3 linked regions of the Drosophila melanogaster genome follow. The protein of the gene in region 1 purifies or fractionates together with the protein of each later gene. This does not show direct contact. Each region holds a gene or a part of one and is shown on either strand. Other genes may lie near its edges. The genes, in order: SmD2, SmD1 and pasha.

What was found.
Region 2: the proteins of SmD2 (region 1) and SmD1 purify together in Drosophila melanogaster (affinity purification with western blotting; 2 studies listed by BioGRID, with this or other methods). This does not show direct contact.
Region 3: the proteins of SmD2 (region 1) and pasha purify together in Drosophila melanogaster (affinity purification with western blotting, with the first as the bait; one study listed by BioGRID). This does not show direct contact.

What each region holds. Positions count from the first base shown.
Region 1 is NT_033777.3:6,344,246-6,348,005, reverse strand, and holds SmD2 (small ribonucleoprotein particle protein SmD2), read left to right. Parts: upstream 1-2,094; 5' UTR 2,095-2,233; coding exon 2,234-2,235; intron 2,236-2,369; coding exon 2,370-2,727; 3' UTR 2,728-2,995; downstream 2,996-3,760. Other genes in the region: CG18048 (uncharacterized protein), read right to left, coding at 488-1,813; CG17919 (uncharacterized protein), read right to left, coding at 2,996-3,475, 3,757-3,760.
Region 2 is NT_037436.4:12,732,653-12,736,611, reverse strand, and holds SmD1 (small ribonucleoprotein particle protein SmD1), read left to right. Parts: upstream 1-2,000; 5' UTR 2,001-2,095; coding exon 2,096-2,109; intron 2,110-2,628; coding exon 2,629-2,989; 3' UTR 2,990-3,248; downstream 3,249-3,959. Other genes in the region: Ptp69D (protein tyrosine phosphatase 69D), read right to left, coding at 1-359, 452-554, 1,363-1,459. UniProt on the Drosophila melanogaster protein: Plays a role in pre-mRNA splicing as a core component of the spliceosomal U1, U2, U4 and U5 small nuclear ribonucleoproteins (snRNPs), the building blocks of the spliceosome.
Region 3 is NT_033777.3:31,616,356-31,623,145, forward strand, and holds pasha (partner of drosha), read left to right. Parts: upstream 1-2,072; 5' UTR 2,073-2,182; coding exon 2,183-2,414; intron 2,415-2,633; exon of another isoform or gene 2,634-2,656; coding exon of another isoform or gene 2,657-2,702; intron 2,703-2,885; coding exon 2,886-3,089; intron 3,090-3,154; coding exon 3,155-4,104; intron 4,105-4,160; coding exon 4,161-4,415; intron 4,416-4,474; coding exon 4,475-4,762; 3' UTR 4,763-5,004; exon of another isoform or gene 5,005-5,119; intron 5,120-5,564; 3' UTR 5,565-5,862; downstream 5,863-6,790. Other genes in the region: CG1792 (uncharacterized protein), read left to right, coding at 47-166, 220-917, 994-1,104, 1,167-1,356.

The sequences.
Region 1 (3,760 bases):
ACAAACGCTTAGTTAAATTCAAATAGGTTTCTAATAATCCGATTCTCCAAAATATTGTTCATGTTGGTAAATTTAAATGTAATAAATAGTAAAAGATAAGTTCAAAATAAGCTATGTCATTTGTCAACATTTCCGTAACTCTTTTTTGTAACAATATATAAATTTTGCATGAACATTTTATGGTAATGACACCATTTAAATTGTGCAAAATAGCTCGATATAAAAAACATTAATTCTACAACTAAAAAAAATTACCTATGCGGACCGCTTCAATAAAAATGTCTTCCTAGCTAATAAATATTTTAATAAAGCGAAATAAAAATATGACATTGCATTTTCCTAGTTAAATATTTTTCGTCACAAAAGATGACATCAGAACATTTTTATGGCGATGGTGCGATCGTCACTAGTTTTTAGTAAATAATGAAAAATTTAAATCCAGGAGCAGGATATGAATTAAGGAAGGAGAAAAGTCATTTTACTTAAGTCAACAGCATTTATTTTGGTCCAGCTTAGGGCTGGTCGGTCTGGCCAGCAGAACCACGTTTTCCAAAGTCACATCCCTGGGAACATAGAACTTAAGTTCTGCTTGATATCCGTGGGATCGTAGATGCTCCAGTCGTCCATAATCCAGAACCCGCTTGCACTGTTGGCCAATTTGTTCGCGCTCCTGGCGAGTTAGACGCTGCGTGTTCGTCTCGGTGAGCTGAAAGTCAGCCGATTCCATGGCCTTACGCCGCTCTCGGCTTAAGCCCGTGCCACAAACTGCCCAACTGACCATTTTGGTTAGGATAACGAACTCCCGTGGTCCAATTCCAGCTTCCTGAAGAAACTTGCGTCCCACGTAGGAGCGCCAGGAGCAGCGATGATGACAACACAGGGCGATGAGAACGTAGTCCGAGCTGGCATTTCCATCACCGAGTATACATCTCAGGGTCAAGTCTGTAGCTGCTCCACAGAGGTGCTTCGAAAAAGCCACCGTTCGTTGGGTTTTCTTTAGCTCCGGCAGAGCAGAAAGCTTAAGATCAGCGATATCAGCACGGATACGTTGCACCACCTCCCTGTTGGCCAACTTGTTGTCCTTCTTGTGCCGCAGGGACATTCGATCGATGAGGACCACCTGTGAGTGACTCAACTTCTGTTCCTGCAATACGGTGGCCAAAAAGTAGGCCAATTGTCCCTTTCCGGCTCCGAATTCTATATAGCTCGTGTGATCCATCAACTGGTGATCGTGTTCCAGGATGCCCAGCAAGCTAGTGGTCTGGGTGAGCTGGCGTAGCGTTTCCTGGCCGTAGTCCTTGCGACTAAGTTCCTCCTTTAGGGATTCGTGCTCCAGCTGCAGTTCCTGTATGCTGGAATTGATGTGCTTGTCATACAGATTCTTAACTTTGTCGATCAGACTGTAGAACTCTTCATCCGCCAGTTCGTGCAGTTTTATTTGATTGAATTTGTTCAAATCTTCGTCTGTTTCCTTAAGATTGTCTCCAGAATTCACTCCTTTTACAATGTAGGGCAGTGAACTTTCCTGATCCCTGGCATTGCAAATGGTCAAGTGTTTGGCTAGTTTTCTTTTAAACACGGTATGTTTGTGATCAAGCGGGCAGGGAATACGTTCCTGGAAGGAATCTTCTCTAGCTTTTTCATCGCAAGTTGCAGTGGTGGCTGCCGATGAGGCATGGGCTCCACAAAACTCACTGCCCTTGTTTGCAGTCATCTTGCAGCGGCGCTTTTTGCGTAACACCCAGTAGGAGCAAGTGGTGGTTACCGGCTTCTCCGCCTTGACAGTGGTCATCGTCTCTTTCACAGGTTCCATTCGTTACTTTTATTTTCAAAATAAATTCCTCCCAATTCGGAACTCGTGCCAGGCAGTGTGACCAAGGCTGGCACACTAGATAACACTATTACCAACTTTTCACAAAAATGTTTTAACTATGGTCTTAAATATGTTTACACTTCTTACATTGAATATTTTAATAAGTTTTTTAATAAAAAACTCAAATTGAGCTTGATTTTTCAAAATAATAGTTTATTTAATTTACGCGAATGCCAAACGCCGATAGTTAGCTTTGAAATTCAGGGCTGGTCGAGTGCAAACGTCCTCAGAGCTGGTAACACTGCAAAAAAAACGAAGCCGCGCTGAATACTTTTGCCAACAATAAACGCAGAAAACCAACTGAGAAGCGAAACAAGAAGACTATCAACATCATTTAACAAGCCATAGTTATAATCCGCTATGTAAGTATCCCGGGGCAGATGGGACAAACCATCGGAAATGGCGTAACTGGCAGCGGCATGTGCGCCGGCATTTTGCATTGTTAGCACCACGCTCGAGTTGTGGGTGAAATACTAATGTACTGTGTTCTCTGCAGGGCTCTTGTGAAACCGAAATCGGAGCTGACCCCGGAGGAGCTGGCGCGGCAGGAGGAGGAGGAGTTTAACACCGGCCCGCTGTCCGTGCTCACGCAGTCCGTGAAGAACAACACCCAGGTGCTCATCAACTGCCGCAACAACAAGAAGCTGCTGGGCAGGGTAAAGGCCTTCGATCGGCACTGCAACATGGTACTGGAAAACGTGAAGGAGATGTGGACGGAGCTGCCGCGGACCGGTAAGGGCAAGAAGAAGGTGAAGCCCGTGAACAAGGATCGGTTCATATCGAAGATGTTCCTGCGAGGCGATTCTGTCATCCTGGTCCTAAGGAATCCCCTGGCCACGGCGGCCGGCAAGTAGTCTACCATAGCGATAGCGTACAGCAACCAATATCCATCAACTTCAGTTAATAAATCCGTAAATCAACCAAATAAGTTCTGTGGACCAAAATGTGCCATTAATTAAAAGTGTGAGCTATAATTTACGACGGAAAATATCCCATCCCAGTAACATATCCCATTATAAATTTGTATAACGAAAGTACAATCCGTAATCGCAATTTCTTATATTTTGATTAACATCTTTTAATCGATTTTTCCTAAAGTATCTGTTTAAGATTAAAACGGAATCAATTCTCCGAAAGTTGCTTGTGCAGTTTTGGAACATAGTCGTCGTACTGGGCTTGGTAGAAAGTTCCAGCAATGGGATTGCCCAACTCGTGATTGATGGCAAACTTGGCGGCACTGAATTTGGGGCGATCCTTGCGGGATCTCTTGCTCACGCGCTCCTCGTCGAACTCAAGTTTGCCGGACTGCTTGTACAGCAGGAAGACGTAGCGATGCAGACCCGTGCCCTGGGGCGGGCCGGAGCCAATGTACTCGGCGATGGGCTCACCACTTGCCAAGTCGTTGCCGGCGATGTTGGCCAGAATCCAGTGCTTGAACTCGCGGAACTTGGGCTCCGCTCGGCTGGGGGCATCGGGATCCGTCATAATGAGCGTGTAGAACTCCCCGGGCTGCGCGTCCCACTCCACGACTGGCTGATCCTTAACCTGGGTGGGCGTTAGCTCCACTCCATCCTTGGCCACCAGGTTGTTGCTGTACGTGACCTTGAATAGGAACGATTTCACAGTTATTTGCTTGATTTTTACATTGTTGCGATCTATCAGCTACTTTACTTTAAGTTAGCTACCTTCTGACCTTTGATCAGAAAGTTGTGACGAGATATTTATCTAGATTTCTATTAAGCTCGGGTGTTAAATGTTTGAAATATTTTAACCTGGTCTGCAAGCACGTAGTTGAGTACATACTATTCGGATCCAATTTATTAAGACAAAGATATCCTCTATATATTTGGATCTTTTTAGTGTGCTTTTGTTAGTGGCCCCACCTTT
Region 2 (3,959 bases), on another chromosome or scaffold:
TGGACGAGAAGGTGTCCAGGAATTCAAACTGGCTGCCGTCCTTAAGCCACTTGAGGTTTCTATTAGTTGTCTCATTTTGTGGGTACATCTCGATCAAACAGTACAACATGACATCCTGCTTGATTTTTCTCTTAATCCTATCGGGGGTACTTTGCAGGACTTTGGATGGAAGGTATGGCCTAACTTGGAATTCAGTCGAATGGTTTTGCCCCGTTTGGGCTGTGCATGTGTAGTTCCCCGAGTCCTTTATATTGACATCGAGAAGCGCCAGGACATTCTTATACTTGATGAAGTCTTGACTATCGTTGTTTTCACTGCCATCGTCGTTGGATTTCAATGGCTCAGTTCTTATTTTATATCTGAAAAGATCGAAAAATGATCAGATTATTATGTTATTCCATCTTTATGGGGGCAGAAATATTTTTAGATGCTTGTGCAATAAGTTACTAACCTTGTATGGTTTTTATTAATAGTTTGGTTGCCCAGCTTCCATGCTACTGCTTCGTTTTCAGATGCGCACTCTAGAGATACGTTTTTACCTATTTCTGCCCACTCTGTAAATAAATTTCATTAAAATAATTATCAGTTTTGTATATAGACGTAATTATAGAAATTACACCGATCTAGTAGCAACATGCTTCTGTCAGCCTAAAAATATGTTAGACTTAAAATATATCTTCCTGATTAATGGTTGTGTATATTTAAATCTGATTATAGCTTCCGGGTTTTATGCGATTTAGTAAAATATTCAAATTAGAACTATATTGAAGGAAAATTTCTTATTTAACTTTCCTATTAAATTTTAAGTTTTATGATGGACACCAAGAAAGGTTTTTCTGGATGGGCGGTAAAAGCCAGACATAAAAATGAAACTACACCCACAATATTGGCCATAAAACTCGCGGTAGTAATCCGGCGTAATTTCGGAATCAACACGTATTTAGCTGAAGAAATATTACAAATATATATATATGTGATTATATTTCAGATAAATCAGATAGATGTACATAAGTATGTACGCAGAAACATAAAACGTATGTATGTACCGGGAAGTGTGTACATATGTATGCGCGACTACTTTTGTTTAGCCCCAATTGAAATCTCACCCCATCGCCGTAATCTTTGGGCGTTACCGACATAGTTCGAGTGCTACTGTATCTAAGAACTATACAACCGTCTTGTTAACCACCATATCAAATGATAATTCCAGTTTCCAACTTAATGTAAAACACTCCATTCACATTTGCAAAAACAACACAAAAAAAAAATGAGACATTGCAATTTGTTGACACCCACAAACGGTTCTTGATGTACGTATGTATGTACCAATTATGATGTTCGTCTGAGTTTTTGAAACATTACCTTGTTTCACAGATCCTTGCACACATATCGCACAAAGGAAAATATATGCAAGAATTATATTTAATAGCATCGACATGCGTCGGTAGAGTAACGCCATGGCTTGCTAATTTCTCACTCCGAGCCGGATAAATACATATGTCAAAAATTATATTCGATGTCTGCGTTGAGTTAAAAAGCTCTACTGCGTTGAACTAATGTCGCGGCGAGTGCAAAACACCGACAAATGTGTTTTATTAAAAACCAGTTAATAGACGGCGACCGCGAATAAGTATTAATCGTTATTTTCTTAACACTGGATTGTTTTTTTTTCGCGATATGCGGCGTTATCGATAAGTCAGTCGAATATGTACCCTTGGCTGCGGTTACCAAGGGATTTGGAACAACTGAATTGGAATATAATCGTATATTATAATAATATAATCGTAATCGTATTTATTAACATGAGTAATTAATAAGACACAAGTATTTATTTATAGAGCAGTATGACATTAATTGTTACTTAATTGTTGCAAATTTATAATTTATTTCTGGAATGCATTAATTCATTTATTACTTCATATTCACTTTTATTACGATTCCGTTTGGTAGCCGATATATTTTACAATACCAATGAGCGTTGCTATCTTAGCACACGATACAACAGTTCACCGCAACCACCAAATTCCAAGTAAACTAGCCGGCATTGTTTGTGCGCGTTTTTTTTTGCAGAAAACCACCAAAAACACATAAAAACATGAAATTAGTAAGGTATGTTATGCGTCATTTACCTAAACTAAAACTAAACTTGTTAGCAATGCGTGCAGTATAGTTTCATTCAGTTTTTGAGTTCTGCGATTCTGCACACATGTATGCATGCAAAAGCGATGCTCCCATTTGTTGTTTTTGTACACAAAATTTAATTTAATACGAATGTTGTTTTGATCTGTTATTATAATAGTTTTCCATTATTTACTTGTATCTGGTAACAATTCTTGCACTTTAAGTAGCATTTTGCATAACTATATTCAATGCAATCAACGCTCTTAATCCAAGGCCACCAAATACAAGCTACCTTTAAATTCGTACTAATTTGCTAAAAGTAAAGGCTCTACTAAGTATATTTCATCATAAAGGCTGCTTGCATACACCTTATTGTATCTCATTTTTCAATCACCCAATAAGATATTTGTTTCTACCTATAATAGCCTTGCATCTCTGAAATGCTGCATCTTTGCAACAGGGATTTCCTTAATTTCGTTTACTAATCTTCCCGTTGATGCATTACAGATTCCTTATGAAGCTAAGTCACGAGACCGTGACCATCGAACTGAAGAACGGCACCCAGATCCACGGCACCATTACCGGCGTGGATGTGGCCATGAACACTCACCTGAAGAGCGTTCGGATGACGATCAAGAACCGGGATCCCGTCCACCTGGAGACGCTGAGCATTCGCGGCAACAACATCAGATACTTTATACTGCCGGACAGCCTGCCGCTGGAGACGCTCCTCATCGACGACACCCCGAAGTCGAAGACAAAAAAGAAGGACAGCGGCCGCGTGGGAAATCGCGGCAGGGGCAGAGGCGCCCGCGGACGAGGTGGTCCACGGGGTCGCGGAAGGGGCCGAGCTTCAGGCCGACGTTAATCTTTGTAACAGCTACATCTAATAAACAATATTCGATAAATATAGAATATAAATATTCTTTGGATAAATCCACACTGTATGCATTTACTATGTACGAACAACTGACAAATGTCTTCAGCTAGTAAAGAAACTCCATCTGAATATGTATATTGTTAAAAATCACTCTGTGTAGTAGCTCAGGAAAAATGTGTTTACTTGGCAACAAATTGAAAGAAGACTCCCGCCATTAAATTATGATTAAAAATGTTTGAAAGTTTGTAAAAACGCTTTTTTATACTTTTAATTGTTTTTGGACGCACAAAATGTCTTTCAAATGTTCAACAATAGTAGGAGAAAACTGTGTTACTTAAGCTAGGCTATAGATTCAAATATATTTACTACTGCCATTAGGATGCGTGGTGAACAATGAAACAAACGACAATGTTAAACCCATGAAATGGGCATCGCCTTAAAACTGGTTAACTTAAGAGATTCTACTTTAAGTAACGGATTGGAAAACATATCAAAAGAAACAATAGATATAGGGATAATGGAGTAACCCTCACTTTAAAACCCATTATTAAGGACAAAAAAATATAAGTGATTTGTTTAAGTTTTCAAAGGCAGGTTGAACCGGTTCCGATAATATATCGAAATGTCAAATTGTGGAACTTGCTCCGATCAATTATCGCTATTCGGGTTCGGATACCCGCTAAAAGTAAGGCGCCAATTTTAAATCTTAAAATTTAAATTAGGAATGTCTTTTGATAACACAATTTTTTATTTTATATTTTTAACTCAAGTTCACAATTGCTCAAGCTTCACAGCTCTATTGCTTTCCTTTGAAGTCTGGTCAGAGCCGGGAATTTGTATATATTTGTTCGTTTATGGTTTAATTGAGAATGTGATTTTGGCTGCAGCTGTTGTTGCTTTGCTTTGCATACTAAGTTTGTTTGTTTAATAATCGTGCACCATATATATACATATATAT
Region 3 (6,790 bases), about 25 Mb from region 1:
TCTGATTAATTTTTTCTTAAGTGTTACTAAATAAATAAGTTTAAAAATGCCGAATCGTAATTGCCGGACTTGCGGCCTGTTCATTTTCTGTTCGACGCCCAGTAACCTCTTCGAGGAGCCCAATTCCGTAATGCTGCACCAGATCGAGGTTCTTACTGGTTTGTTTGTGAGTACCTTTCTATTTTTGTGTTTTCAAACTTAAGTCTGGATTATCCGTAGTTGCTCGGCGGACCCGGGAACGAGCTGCCCCCCTTTATTTGCTCACCCTGCGAATTGGACCTGCAGACGGCGATTGCTTTCCGGGAACGTGTGATTCGAACCCAAAAAACGCTGCAGGAAAGTCCCAACCTGGGGAACGCGGAATTGATCGAATCCTTCGCAGTTGGTGTGGAGAAGGAGATTCAGTACGCTGAAGAGGTCACCGAGATCGAGGTTATAGACCTTCTACCCGAGGAACACCTGCTGGAAGAGACGGAAGAGCCGTACGAAATATGTGAGCAGAACGAGCAGCCCCAAGTGAAGGTTCCTGCGCAGGAGAAGAAGCTCCGCAGAAGTACAAAGACCACGCCCACAGTCTTTACCTCCGTTAAGTTTGCGGACAATAGCCAGGCCACGCGCACCCAGTGGAGCAGACTCACCGAGGACGAAGTGGTGGCCCTAAAGCGGGAGCGACGCAAGCGGGATTGCATATGCGAGCAGTGTGGCCGGCACTTCACCTGCCCCAGCAACTTCAAGTTGCACCTCCTCCGACACACCGGCGTAAAGAGCTTTGCCTGTGACCAGTGCTCCCAGCAGTTCTACACTGCTACGCTTCTGCGGCGCCACCAAGAACTGCATGCGGGGAATGCTTTGTTTCAGTGTCGCTACTGCGAGGCAACCTACAGCAACGCCAGCGGACGCATCCAGCACGAACGCATGTACGACAGAACTCGTTCCCATTCATGAAACGTCTAATGCTTTTCACATATTTCTGACCACTTTCCATTTCATCAGGCGCCACACGAATGTCAAGCCCTTCACGTGCAAGGAATGCAATAAAAGCTTTGCCATGAGCGGAAAACTCCGCACGCACATGCTGAGTCACACCGGAGTGCGAGCGTTCCAGTAAGATCTTAGTTACCTGAAGTTTTATTGAGGATCCTTGACTCTGTTTATCTGTTTTTCAGCTGCGACTCCTGCCAAGTCTCCTTCGTTCGCCGCTCCCACCTGACCTCCCACTATCGCTCAAAAGGTCACGCCCACACTTCAAGCGCCCAGGCGGCACTGGACAATCCTGTGGAACTGGACGTGAAGGCCAGTAACGGCATGCAGACAGGGGCTAAGGATGAGGCTTTACTAGGAAAAAGTGGATCTTAGGATAAACTGTACTAAAAATCAATGGATCCCCGATCTGATATTCGGATTAATACTCAATGCACTTAATATTAATCGAAAATGGAATATGTTCAAATATGGCTGTGTTGAATAAAAACTGATTTTTTCAAAATGGCCAATAGAGATTACCTTACTTAGGCTGCGCACTAATTTTTAGTTACATTATTTTTATGTTTTAAAATATAATAAAATCTAAATTCGAACATTGTTTACCGGCTTGGGGAGTAGCCAGCATTTTAAAATGTCATGAGCCTGGTCACACTGTCTTGCACTAAATAAATTAGGGGGCGTCTTTAAATTGCAAAATTTCTTGCAAAATCAGTAGAAAAGTGCTTGGAGCTGCTGTTACAATAGATCCTAAGACCAAACGTTCTTCTCCGGAGGATAATACCTGGAACCATCACTAACCCCAATTCAAAAGTGTCAATCTGTTTCCGCAAAACTGCATGTGGTGTTTGTTTCGCTTGTTTGGTTATTTTTCCCAACTAACATCCTCTCTCTAAAATCTCGATTTCGTACTTGAATTGCGCAGCTTTTGCTTTGGGATTTTGTCCGACAATTAGGCAGAATCCATAGCGAAAGACGCAGCAAGTAGCATCGTTTACAATCCGCGAAAGTGCAGTCGCAGAATTTTCCGGCGGGGCTTCTGGCTTAACCAATGTGGCACTTCCAATGAGAAATCAATTGCAAGGCGTTGGATGCTCTCAGTATTGGTTATTGGCGAGATTGGCCCCGGGACAGCATTACTAGACAGTTCCGATCAGTCCGCACTAAACCCCTCCCGCTTTAGACACACACATCCAATACAATGGCGGAGAAGCCGCTGGCCGACTGCCCGGACTCTGGGCAGGTCCGCAAGCGTCCCCGGCTGGAGGACGAGGAGCAGGAGCTCAAGGTGGCCGGCTTTTCGCTGAGCGCCATCGAGGAAATGCGGCGGACCAGGGACAACGAGCTGCAGAACGAACCCATGGACCAGCAACTGCGACAGTTCCAGGTTCTCGACGAAGTCGGCTCTGGCAGCGATGAGGATGATGAGTCAGGTGAGTCGGAAACGAAGCTCGGATATTCACTCAGGTCATCCAGATCACAGGCTGTGCAATTACCACCTTTTGTTTCACAGTGCAGGCGCAGTTCTTATCTCAAGATCTTGGGGGCCTATCATTGTGCAAATACAGGAGGCTGATAAAAGAGTCAGCCGGCAGGTTAAACCCTGATATAGCAGCTTCAGTTTTCCTTTATCTTATTGTAAGGCAGGTGGTGGCAGTTTTGTGCGGACAGTTCCATGCGCATGATACCCATTATCCGACTGGCTTGTCCAGTTGCGTCAGGTAGAGCCAGTAATAATGAAGGATCACTTTAATTAAACATCAAAGAGCTAGACAATTAGGTGCCAATGGCATTCATTCAAATATTCCGTGAAGATGGCCATCAACTTCGCGGCTGGTTTTCCATTTCCCAGACAAACAGACAACTTATTTATCCGTGATTGTATCTCCTTACATGGCAACCAGACAACGCTAGCGAGCAGCAGGGCGGAAGGTATGGAGAAGGAGGCGACGAGGAGGAAGAGGCGGCTGATGGTGACGGCGAAGAATACGATTCCTCGGAATTCGATGATGACGAGATCGAGAATCTGCTGGACGAGAAGCTGCCCGAAGAGCTCCGCGAGTCAAAGCAGCCCAAATACGAGCAGCGTTTCAAGACTGTGCTGGAAGGTCAGTGCTTTTCGTCGAACCAAGTGTCCAAGATGACGAGTATTTTAATGTGACTACTCTTTTAGAAAAGCGCCTCAACCACTTTGAAGTCCTACCCGAGGGATGGGTGCAGGTGACCCACAACAGTGGAATGCCGCTCTTCTTGCATCGCAAAACTCGCGTCTGTTGCGCATCGAGGCCCTATTTTCTCGGCACTGGAAGTGCCCGCAAGCATGCAGTGCCCTTGGGAGCAATCCCCTGTCTTAACTACAGGCGGGCTTTGGAGGAAGAGTCGGAGGTGGAGCAACAAAAGACGGATGGAGCGCCGCCAGTGGCTGTATGTCCCATGGCCGGAGCTTCCGCTTTACCGGCCGAAGCCATGGACGTGGAGGGAAAAGAGAACAACGAAGGCAGCACCGATTCCAAAACCCAACCAGATGGAATAACTGCCCTTATGCCGGCTGCTAAAATTGTTACGGTCAACGAGAATACCCAAAAGGAATCCATTACACCGGAGCAACTAAACACCTACTGCCAGAAACTCTTCAAATTCAAGGTGATTCGTGTGCTGCGATTTCGGAGTTGGAATGCTCGCCGCAAGTTCACCAAAAACCGCAAACACATCAAGAATATTCAACGACCCACGCTGCCGGATGGCACTAAGCTTATTAAGTTCCCAATACTAGCGAATGCTGGCGAAGGATCAACGAACCCGCGCGGTCGGAAGGAGTGGATCATGAATCCCAATGGCAAGAGCTTCGTCTGCATCCTGCACGAGTACGTGCAGCATGCTCTGAAAACGCAGCCCACCTATGAGTTCAAGGAGCTCCAAAACGCAGCCACGCCTTACTCCGCCACCGTATCGGTGAACAATCTCAAGTATGGCACGGGCTATGGCACCAGTAAAAAGCAGGCCAAGTCAGAGGCGGCTCGGGAAACGCTGGAAATACTCATTCCCGATGTCAAGGACAAGATAACGGGCAACAATAAGGACCAAAAGAGCGGCACTGCGAAGAAAGCGCAGAGCGATCTGTCTGTAAGCAATCTACCTATAGAAAATGGAACCACTTCTTATTTTTATATTTCTTGCAGGTTTTCGATGACATCCGCATCGAAGATCCCCGAGTCACCGAATTCTGCAACAAGACGACGGAGCCATCTCCCAACGCCATTCTGCTGACTTGCTTGCAGCGCAACTACGGCAGCGATGTTCAGATCAGCCAGGAGATCAACCGCACCGCGAATAACAAGAACGAGTTTACCATGACCGTGGGCAAACATACTGCCAAAGTGGTGTGTAAAAACAAGCGGGAGGGCAAGCAGTTGGCTTCGCAAGCAATCCTCCAGGTGAGCATTGATATTTCTTTATAACTTTACTTATAGCTATTGAGTTAACCTTTCGTCAGATTTTGCATCCGCACATCCAGACCTGGGGTTCCTTGTTGCGCCTCTACGGCAACAACTCCATAAAGACCTTCAAGGAGAAGAAGCTGGAGGAGCAGGAGATCACCGTGCTGCAGAGCAAGGCGGCAGTCAACCAACCCAACTACGCCATACTGGACAAACTTAAATCCGAGATGTTGAAACTGTGTGCCAAGCAGGAGAGCGTCCTAACCATGGGCACTTTTGTGCCGCCAAGCGACGTCGATCTGCCCACTTCCTCCGGGTCCAATTTGAACAACGTGGAACTTTGATTGGGAAACACACATCTCTCTCGCCAACATTGATTCTCTAGTAGTGCATGACAACCTCCTAGTCTCTTAGTTACCCACCCATTTCCATATTCGAAAAGCTAATGACAACAACGACGCGTTCTCTAGAGGCATACGAACTGATTTCAAATCGGCTTCATCTATCTGAGCTGGTTAATCTGAAGTGGCTTTAGCAAGTGGCCAAAAATGAAGAACAATTGCCTATCAAGTGGTTTTACATTAAGGTAAATTCATCACTAAATTTGCCAAATATAAGTAGTTCATGCTTGCAATAGCTAAGATTAGGGGTTCAATTTCACTTGTATAATATAAGCTTGAATAAAATACTATTAAAAACGCAGTCCTTTATATTTGAGTATAGAGATGTTCGTCTAAGATCTTTATCTGCAATACCAATTAAAAAAGTAGAGTTCTTAAGTATTTGACAACTATTCATTTGGGCAGACAGCAGGACAATTATTTGCTCATGATTTGTTTATCAAATTTCCTCGTAAATCTTCTCGTATCGCTTTCATTCTTGGAACGTTCAAACACCATTGACCCGTAACCAATTTGGAAGACATTTTAAAAAGTCGTATGGAATATAAAAAAATGCATATTTACATGGCCATTAGGATTCTCGGGTGTTTTTAGGCGGTCGGTCGTTAGGTGAGTGGATGTTAATATTTAAGGCGGTGGGCAGGGTGTAGGTTCGTAGGTGTGTGTGCGTGCAATTATTTAAAAGACGATGCAGTCATAAATTATGCTACATTTTCATTTCATTCTAACGTTTCCTTTTTTATAGCATTCCAACGAGCGTGGCACACACACATACCCACCACGGAGAATGCGGAGAGACAGTCGCAGAGAGAAAGTCCGAGAGAGAGAGCGCGGGAGAGCGGCGCAGGCGCAGATCCCGGATTTTGCGCAGCAGCCATGCTGCGAGATGAATTGTGGCGAGTTCTGACTTGCCAATTCGCAGGCCATATCTGTATCTTCAGTACGGATTCTTCGCGTGGCGAGAAAACCACTTCCCGGCGCTCCTATCCTCAGGACTTTCGTCTGGGATTTGTAATTGAATCACAGTAACTCGGGACAGACCGAAAAAAAAAACGGGGAGAAAAACAGAAAGCCAAGAGGTGAATTCGGTGGTACAGCTGAAAAAAGGCCAACTGCAGTGCAGAGCAGAATCATTTTTATTGACATTCATCTTAGTTGCCCCCTCATCCCTCGGTGCCCCCAAAAAAACCAACTTCATAGCCCCCCAGTTCCTCGATTCTCGACTCTCGACGTTCGATTCCCGGTGCTCGTGTGTCGCGTGTTGCAAGTGCGTGGGTCGCGCGTCAAATCAGTGGATGTAGCAAGCGGTACGACACGCGCGCCGTTTTTGATTTTTCGCCCAGCGGCCCAGAAATCGGGCCTGGGAAAAAAGTGCGGATATTCGGTGAAAGACGGAGCACTCGGAAAATAAACGGAAAATCGGGTACACACACGCACTCCTGTACACCGTGTCCAATGCATTTGGCCCGCTTGGCCCAAGCACTCGGAGATATGTAAATTATGCCAAATTCCATTGGAATTTCCGTCAGAGCCAGTGAATCGGTAAGCAGCAGCCGCCGGAGCAGCAGAAGGCGGAGGACGCAGGACGCAGGACGCAGGAGCAAGCCAGTAGCAGCAACAAGGACTGGAGCAACAGCAGTAGGCGAAGGTAAGCGGTAGCGCATTAGGCGCCAAGTGTCAGCGGAGAATGCTGGAAAATTCAATAATCCGCCGCAGGGCGCCCGTTTGTCCCCCTCGTGCCACACGTCCTCCTCGCCGTCCGCCTGCCCGTCTGCCCGAAAAACCCACTCCACGCTTGCCATCTGGGCGCATACCGAATGAACTCGTGCACGGGCAGAAAAAAGTGGATACTACTTTATTTTGGACTGAAAAATTGATGGTGGAATTGTGCTTTACGGTCATTGTCTTGGAGTTTGTGCAATTTTGTGAATTTCCATCCAACGTGTTCCCAAATAAATCCCTACGGCTCAA